2 linked regions of the Drosophila melanogaster genome follow. Each later gene encodes a partner of the first gene's protein in a complex. Each region holds a gene or a part of one and is shown in the gene's direction. Other genes may lie near its edges. The genes, in order: PolD2 and PolD3.

Region 1 (3,864 bases):
AGGTGCAACACATCCCACTTGCTCCACTTGTCGTAGCCGTACCGGGCTTCCTCAAGGGCATAGCGCACTATCAGGGCGTGCAGTGGAGTGTTTCCCAACGAGTCTGGTGCGTTGATTAGCTCTTTGCATCCTCGTTCCAGCAGGATGCGAAGAGTGGCCAACGTGTCTTCAGCAGACTTACGAGCAGCAAAAATAACTGAAAATAATAGCCATGGTTATTACAACATCTGCATCAGAATCTCTCTCTTCAGGGAATACGAACTCACCCACATGCAGTAGGGTCATTTGTTGGGTGCAGGTGCGTACAGTTGTAATTGCACCCTGATGAATGAGTAGCTCAAGAAAGCGACCATCATGAAGCACGGCATGGTGAATCGGGTAATACTCGTCCATAATAAGATTGATTTCCTCCGAACGGGTGACCACTAGTTGCTGGACGCAATTCCAGGCGCCGCGTTCGCAGGCCAAGTGGAGCAGGGGCTTTTTCACGCGGAAGGGGATCCACGGCTCCTCCATTTTTTGGGTGAGCAAGCTTAGAACATTGTACTGATCTCCGTCGATTGCATAGAAGAGCGCGTTCTGTAGCTTTGTGTTTAGCCGCTCGCTGACATCGTCCACGTTGTTGTGCCATTTGCCGCTCTCCTCGCAATTTCTCGTGTGGGCGCCAGGAAAACACATCCGAGTGTCCACGTCGATACGTGCGCCATGCCGAAGCAATAACTCCACGCACTCCTCGTAGCCACGCAGGGTGGCGATGTGCAGGGGCAGGGAGCAGGGCGAGCGGTTAACGTCCGGGCGGTGGCGATGCAGCAGCCACTTAGTGAGATCGATGTGGTTGAGGCCGACGCTGCGCTGCAGGATGTTGTATCCATAGTCGTCATGCATGGCCAGGATATTCTCGTTCTTTGGGATCTGGATGAGCAGGCTCTCGAGGGTCTGCAGGGAAACCTTCGGATTGGCGCGCAGGATGTCAAACAGTGTCTGTATGGTCTCCTCGGTGGCCTTGGACAGCTTTCCGTCGCGATGCGAGAGGAGTGCGGATCCGGATCGGAACACCTGGCTCACGGAGCCGCCCATTGCTCTGGCTTCTCCCTTTACGGCCGTCTAACACTGCACAGTCATGCTAGTATCTCCTGCGACGCAGTTTCCGGGGAAGATCGCTAGACGGCGAAGTGCGTATCACTTCCGAAACCGTAAAAATCAATACGAGCCCTGAAGAACCGCCCAGATCAGCACTGAACGACGGCTGGAAGGAGAAAGGCTGCTCCGATGGCTTCAGTCACAGAATCCCACATCCCTGTGGCGCGTTTTCAGGCTAGATTCAGCGCATCCGGGCATTTCAAATTTACCACAATCAAAAAAAAACTTTGGGATTAAATAAAGTATATTATAGTATAGGGTTTCAGAGGCCCTATCGGCAATCGATATCAGTTGGTTGAACTTGGTATCGTTAGTCGATAGGAGGATATCAATTTTGTATAAAAGCGCGTTTATTTAAACTTAAAGTAAAATGCGTAAATGGGCATACATTTGCACCACCTTATTCAGGAGCAAAAAAGCAATGAACGCGATTTTTTTCCATAAAATAAGTTATAGGCTTTGCACATACTTTTCGATTTGTGCAATCCAGCTGTACCCAATGTTAAGGCTTATCGGCTATCGATTCGAATTGAATGTACAGTGAATACTGGAACTTAGTTACTATAAATGTCAATATTAAATATAAAAAATTATTAATAATAAAATATTAACAAAAAAAAATACTTCTTATTCAAAAGCGAATACTTCTTATGTTACCAAGCCAAAAAAACTTTGGTTTTCCTAAGAAATTTTCCCTAACATTACCAACGTGATTGAAGAAAAACTGTTTGCCTTAGCCTCTCCTCTCTGTAACAAATTGGCGCTCAAAAGTAAACGAGCGTCTTGGAATATAACTTAGTTTGCTCCTAAAAATATCGACGGAATCATGACCAACCGCCTGGAGACCAAATACGAGAACCTGAGCAGCATTTTCCGGCTAAAGGGACATGACTACCAAAAGCAGTTCTTCCATCTGTATGCCCACCGCCTGGCCGAGATGACGCGTCTCCTAACGCCGCTGGCCCAGAAGAAGTGGGGCAACAAGGAGCCCATCAAAAAACTGTGTGAGCTGCGGGGTGAACAGGACGTGCACTGCATCCTGATCGGCACCATTTTTAAGCACCAGGCTCACAAGCCCAGTATCCTCCGGGACATTTCTGAGGAGAATCAGTTAGCGCCACAGCCGCCAAGACAGAACTACTCGGATCCGGAGGACAAGATTGTTCTGGAGGATGAACTGCAGCGGGTTCGACTTCAGGGCAAGCTAAATGGACAGCTCTTAGCCACTGGAGTTGTGTGCGCTGCCCTCGGTGGAACAGACAGTGACGGATTTTTTAACGTGGAGGATATACTCTTCTACGAAAGTGGACCTCAGAAGCCACTGGCCCCCATTAAAAGAAGCCGCCTCCTGGTGCTGGCGTCTGGGTTGGACCAACTGCAGGCCCACAAATTTGTGGAGGCATTGAATCTCTTTCAGTACTGGCTGGCCGGCAGTCTTGGAAACAACAAGGAAGCGGGCTCCATGGTGCGTCTTATCGTGGCTGGAAACTCGGTGAGAGCCAGTGCCATGGCACATGTGCCCACCCTACAGGTGGCACGCACCCAGGCGAACGCAAATGACACAGTCCAGGCCGTTTCCCAGCTAGACCAGTGGTTTGCCTCATGGGCACGCAGTCTGCCCGTCGACATAATGCCGGGACCCTACGACCCGGCCAACTTTATGCTGCCCCAGCAGCCGTTCCACAAGTGCATGTTTCCCCAGGCTGCTCAACTGGCAACTTTCCAGGCGGTGACTAATCCGTACAGCTGCCGGCTGGATGAGGCCCTGGTGGTAGGCACATCTGGCCAGAATGTATCGGATCTGTTGCGCAGCACTTCGCTGGACTCGGCGCTGGAGGCCCTTCGCTGCACCCTCACCTGGGGACATGTTGCTCCCACTGCACCGGACACTCTAGCGTGCTACCCGTACATCGAAAGTGATCCCTTCATCCTGCGCGAGTGTCCGCACGTTTACTACGCCGGCAACTGCGAGTCGTTTGCGACCGAGCTGCACGAGGGTTCCGAAGGCAAGCGCACCCGCCTAGTCTGCGTGCCCAGTTTTAGCAAAACACAGAGTGTGGCCGTCGTTGACCTGGATACGCTGGATTGCCGCATGGTCAACTTTAGCGTAGATGCAGAATAAGAAACTTCATTAATACAAATAATACACCCTGTTAAGTCTTGAGAATCACTGGTTTTATTCGCTATCCTAGTGCACCACGGGACCCAGCGGCTCGCCCCTAATGTTGGCCAAATCCAGGCGGGAGTCGATGGTCTCGTCTATCAGTCCGATCACCGCGATGTTGTCCCCCCGGATGATGTGCAGTCCCAGCACGATTTGCTCGATGCCGGAGGTGGTAGAGAAGACGCGCTCATGGCACTCGTCTATGATGATATTGATGGTCTGGTCGAATCCCTTGAGTGTCCCGATGAAGTTCCGTCCGTCTGCCGTAATGATGGAGACTGTGTGATTGATATACGACTCCAGACCGGACATTTTAGCAGTCTTTCCTTGATAACTTCTCCAAACAGAACAAAATAAATACTAATTGTGGCAAGAGGCTAGCGACGCGCTCTCCGATAACGATAACTGTGCCGCAAATCAGCTGTTCCGGCTCTGGTGCTCATGTAATCGGTGGTCAACATTCTATTTTCCGAAAAAATTAAATTAAACTGATTAAAATGCTGCGTCGCATTGTCCAAGTGGGTGCCCGGGAGTTGAGCCGAGCCCAATCGTCAACCGCC
Region 2 (4,284 bases), on another chromosome or scaffold:
TGAGGTATTATGAATTTCAGCGCAAAATCTTGCGAGAGGAGGTGGTCGCTTTGAAGGAGAAGGAGGCTGTGTCCTCGGGCCGAGAGCGGGCACTTCAAGATCAACAAAAGAGTGCCCAGTTGGAGATGGAAAAGATGCGCACTCTTGTTCGGAAAATGCAGAGCCATCTGCAGCTGGATGACATCCGGCATCGCGAAAGTATCCAGCGGATGAACGAGACAACTGAATCTCTGCGGGAGGAGTTGCGCACCATTTCGGAAAATTGCCAGCAAATGCAGATCCGCCTAAAGTAGGTAATTTTCCAGGATAGAGTGCATCCATATAAGAGCAGCTGCCATGTTCTCTCTTCCCGCCAGTCAACAGACCGAAGTTAACCAGCAGCAGGAACAGATTATCGACTCCTTTCGAAAATGGAAGGACGCCCAGGTTAGGGCCGATGAGGCGATGCGTCTTTGCGCCAAGCGGGCCGAGGAACACATCCACATGCTGCTGGACGAAAACCGGACGTTGGCCGAGGACTATCGCAATCTATTCCGAGACTACAAGCTCTTGGAGACGGAGATAAAACGAGTGAAGCAGGCGGTCAACTGCGCGTCCAGTTCGGCGATAAGTTGTCCACCTCCGAAGAGTGGCGGTCTGACCAATCCCGAGGCGGGGAACGATGTGAGTTGGAAATATACAAATTTTTCACAAATCTTTATATGCCAAAATGCCACCAAACCATGTAAAACTTGAATTTTTCCTTAATTTTCAACAAGCCTGTTCCAAATTTTGACGAATTGGATAACCATTGGACTTCTTAAACGGGCAGCTGGAATTAAAATAATACTTTCTAACTTTATTGTCTAACTGGTGTCTATTGGTGACTTCCGCAGATGGCCAGGCGATTGCAGAACTTGACCAGCACCTCGCAGCGGATTTTTAACCAGAATCAGACTATGAACGATCAGTACTGCAACTCCTTGATCTCAGGAAGTCCGGCTGGAATTGGGCAACCGGTGGCCCAATCCATATTGCGGCGTACTCGATCGTCACAGGATCAGTCGTAGGAGTCGCCAGGATTTGCATGCAACTCCTCCTTCCATTTAAAAATCGTTCTCACCCAAAATCTCTATGCCATCAACACTTTGGAGGCGCGTAACTTGTAAATTGTCTTTGTAAATTGTGGTATAAAATAAAAACTAAGTGCTTGTGTAATCTTGGTAATAATGTGATCACTACTGATACGAACAAGGATACAGATGCTTTCAGCTTCTGTGGACGCAGCGAAGCTATTTGCTTTCATCCTGTTGAATAAGTTTGGTTCTTTCGCTGATTGCTATGAGGGCCATTTTGATTTGAGCCCTTTTCTTGACGCTTTCGTCGCGCAGGACATCGGATTGCTTGGTCAAGATCTTTACGCGTGTGTCGCAGAAGCGTTCCGCATCTGGAATGCTCATATCGAGGAACACATTCTTGCCCACATCGACCAGAATGCTATCCATTTTCCGAACGCGAGCCTGCATGAATACGTTGCTGCCGATGTTGACTTGCGTTTTGTAGCCATCTGGTAGGTGGGTGTCGAAGGTCTGGAGGGTGTTCTTCAGCTGGACGTACTCCATGATCTCCTCGTTGTACTGCCCGATGCACTTTTCCAGCTCTCTGAGATCCTCTTTCAGCACCTCGTTGATGAACTCCTCAATTTGGGTGATTCGCGCCTTGTTGGCATCCTGCCTGTAATTGGGTCTTACACTTGCTGCATTCACTTGTATTTTTATCACTTACTCGGCTTGTCTGTGAGCTTCTGTGTTGTGTTTTGGATTTACTTGCATTGTTTGGGCATTAAAAAGAAATCAAAATTTATTAGGATATCTGGTTTGTTTACTTCTCGTTTCTTCTTCTTATCTTTGCAATAGCGGCAAGTAGATGTTATCGATAGATAGCAGTTGTTTCAATTTAGCTATATTTAAGCTAAATGTAAAGTCTATTAATAAGCTCATAATTCAAGCAAAAAAAAGCAACTAAATATATATAATAATTAATTAATTAACTTTAATAAATACGCCTTTTTCTACATTGACAATATGCATAGCAAAGTCACAAATTTTCGAATTCAGTATTCATTATTTTGCTGGTGAGTTTTAGCACTTTTTTTAGTCACATAAGTTGGCACGCCCGCAATACGATTTCGCGCAATTTTAACTAAACAAATTGTCGAAATGTCGCTTAAAAAGGCTCTCGACGATTGCATGATCGATTTCGATCGCTGTGTGCTGGTCACCGATCTTCTGGAGGAGTACAAACTGTCCTACAAGGAGGTGAACGATGTGCTGGAGGCCTACATCAAAGAGCAGGAACCTGCCACAAAATTCGAGAAGAGATTTCTAGTCCATGGCAAGCGTAAAACGCAAGGATCCGATTCCGGCGAAGATCTGTACTCTGTGGTGCTGGAGAGCAGGATGCAGGATTGGCTGGCCAAAGTCCAGGATGCGGAGTCTCAGCTGTATAGTGTGAAAATAGCCGGTGGCACCAAAGCGCCGGCTGCGATTTTCAAGCCCATGCAGCATTTGGAGGTGAAGTTGGCAAAAGTGGAGCAGCGTCCTGGAGCGGGAAAGATAGTGCCCAGTGCAAATGGGACGACTCCCCACAATGGAGTCAAATCTGAACCCACTAAATCGGAGCCATCAAAGTCTGCGGTTAAGTTGGAGCCTTCAAAATCTTCACTTAAATCAGAGCCAGCAAAGTCGAAGGCGGAAAAGCCAGTGGCCAGCAAGTCCTCTCCGGAGGATAAGAAGACCTCGCCCAAGGAACAGGCCTCTAAAGCCAAGCCTGCAGCAGCCAAAAAGGGTAGCATTAATAGCTTCTTCACAGCGGCGGCCAGCAAGCCAAAGGATGTCAAAGCCACGCCCAGCAAATCGACGTCCGGCACCGTGGACAACTTCTTTAAGAAGCAACCGGCAGGCGCCAAGAAGTCGCCACCGGAATCCGAAGATAAATCGAAGAAAGATGCTTCCAATTCAAACAAAAAGGAAGCCTCGAAAAAGAAATCCCCCAGTCCCACCAAAAAGCCAACAACGGCAAACACTTCCATGCAACTGTTCGACGAGGAGAGTGCCGAATCGTCCGACGAGGAGGAAAAGCTGGACATGCTGCGGCGGAAGGTGATCGAGTCGGACAACGACTCCGATCAGGAAAAGGCCTCGTCCTCCAAGCGGCGACGAATCAGCGACTCTGAGGACGAGGAGCAGCCGCCCAAGAAGTCCGCCGATGAAGAGACCATCGCATTGGATGAGAAAATGGATACGGAACCGGCCAATGAAACCTATCTGGATGAAGATGGCTTCGTCATTACGCAGCGTAAACCAACAAAAGCCCAGCCTGCCAACAAAAAGGTTTCCCCAAAGGCTGCTGCTCCCGTCAACAAAAAGAAGTCACCGCCTTCAGCCGCGAAAGCTGGAAAGGATGCGCCGAAAACCAAACAAGCTGGCATTATGAACTTTTTTTCCAAGAAGTAAATGAAAGCAAAGCATGGAGATGTTGCTAAAGTAAGGGTTAATTGTTAAGCATGGAAACAGTTAATGTTTTTAATAAATTTATTTATGATTATTGAAAATAATATATATTTTATGATGGGTTTACAAAAAAATAGCCATCAGCCCATATGAAAAAAACAGTTTGCGTTTGTTGTTAAAAAGAATTTATTGCATTTGTTTATAGCTGCTAGAAGTTGTTTGAGTATCTTGTTTGTAATTTGTATTTCTTTATTTATATAGATTCGCGTGTCTGATTGTGTGTGTGTGTGTGTGTGTGTGGGCGTGTCGGTGTGAATTTTGCCTGGCCTATGCTTTATCAGTGCGTGTTTTTGTTTTTGGTTTTGTATTTGTTGTTTTCGATTTCGATTCGAGATCGAAACTCGTTATCTCCGCTATCGTTATCGTATTTCAAAACACTTTAAAAAATTAAGGCGAGGTTTGAAAAAACACTTGTTTGTTCATATAATTCGAATATTCGTTAATTTAAATTGTTCATTTGTTGTCTTGTTGGTTTTTCGTTTTTCATTTTTAATTTTTGGTTTTTGGTTTTTGGTTTTTGCTTTTCTGTTTCTGCAGTGATTGCGTTTGATTCCTATCTGATTTTTAAGCATTAAAAGCTTACAGTCAGGCTGCCCGATGGCAAGCAAATACATAATATGTATGTAAGTGATTGAGTAAGGGATTTTTTCTCTGTGGTGGATAAAACAATTTGTCGTGTTCGTGGCAAACAATCGAGATCAGTGGCTACGCTTAGGTAGAAGCTTCTCAGAAG

Evidence for each region.
Region 2: PolD2 (region 1) and PolD3 share a complex: the UniProt entries of both Drosophila melanogaster proteins name them as parts of the DNA polymerase zeta complex.

What each region holds. Positions count from the first base shown.
Region 1 is NT_037436.4:1,773,715-1,777,578, forward strand, and holds PolD2 (DNA polymerase delta subunit 2), read left to right. Parts: upstream 1-1,918; 5' UTR 1,919-1,966; coding exon 1,967-3,262; 3' UTR 3,263-3,305; downstream 3,306-3,864. Other genes in the region: CG13933 (uncharacterized protein), read right to left, coding at 1-196, 267-1,077; CG2021 (uncharacterized protein), read right to left, coding at 3,329-3,616; mRpL46 (mitochondrial ribosomal protein L46), read left to right, coding at 3,802-3,864. UniProt on the Drosophila melanogaster protein: Accessory component of both the DNA polymerase delta complex and possibly the DNA polymerase zeta complex. As a component of the delta complex, participates in high fidelity genome replication, including lagging strand synthesis, DNA recombination and repair.
Region 2 is NT_033779.5:15,254,178-15,258,461, reverse strand, and holds PolD3 (DNA polymerase delta subunit 3), read left to right. Parts: upstream 1-2,157; 5' UTR 2,158-2,198; coding exon 2,199-3,494; 3' UTR 3,495-3,643; downstream 3,644-4,284. Other genes in the region: yuri gagarin, read left to right, coding at 21-289, 357-663, 876-1,049; Uxt prefoldin-like subunit, read right to left, coding at 1,272-1,713, 1,765-1,811. UniProt on the Drosophila melanogaster protein: Accessory component of the DNA polymerase delta complex and possibly the DNA polymerase zeta complex. As a component of the delta complex, participates in high fidelity genome replication, including lagging strand synthesis, DNA recombination and repair.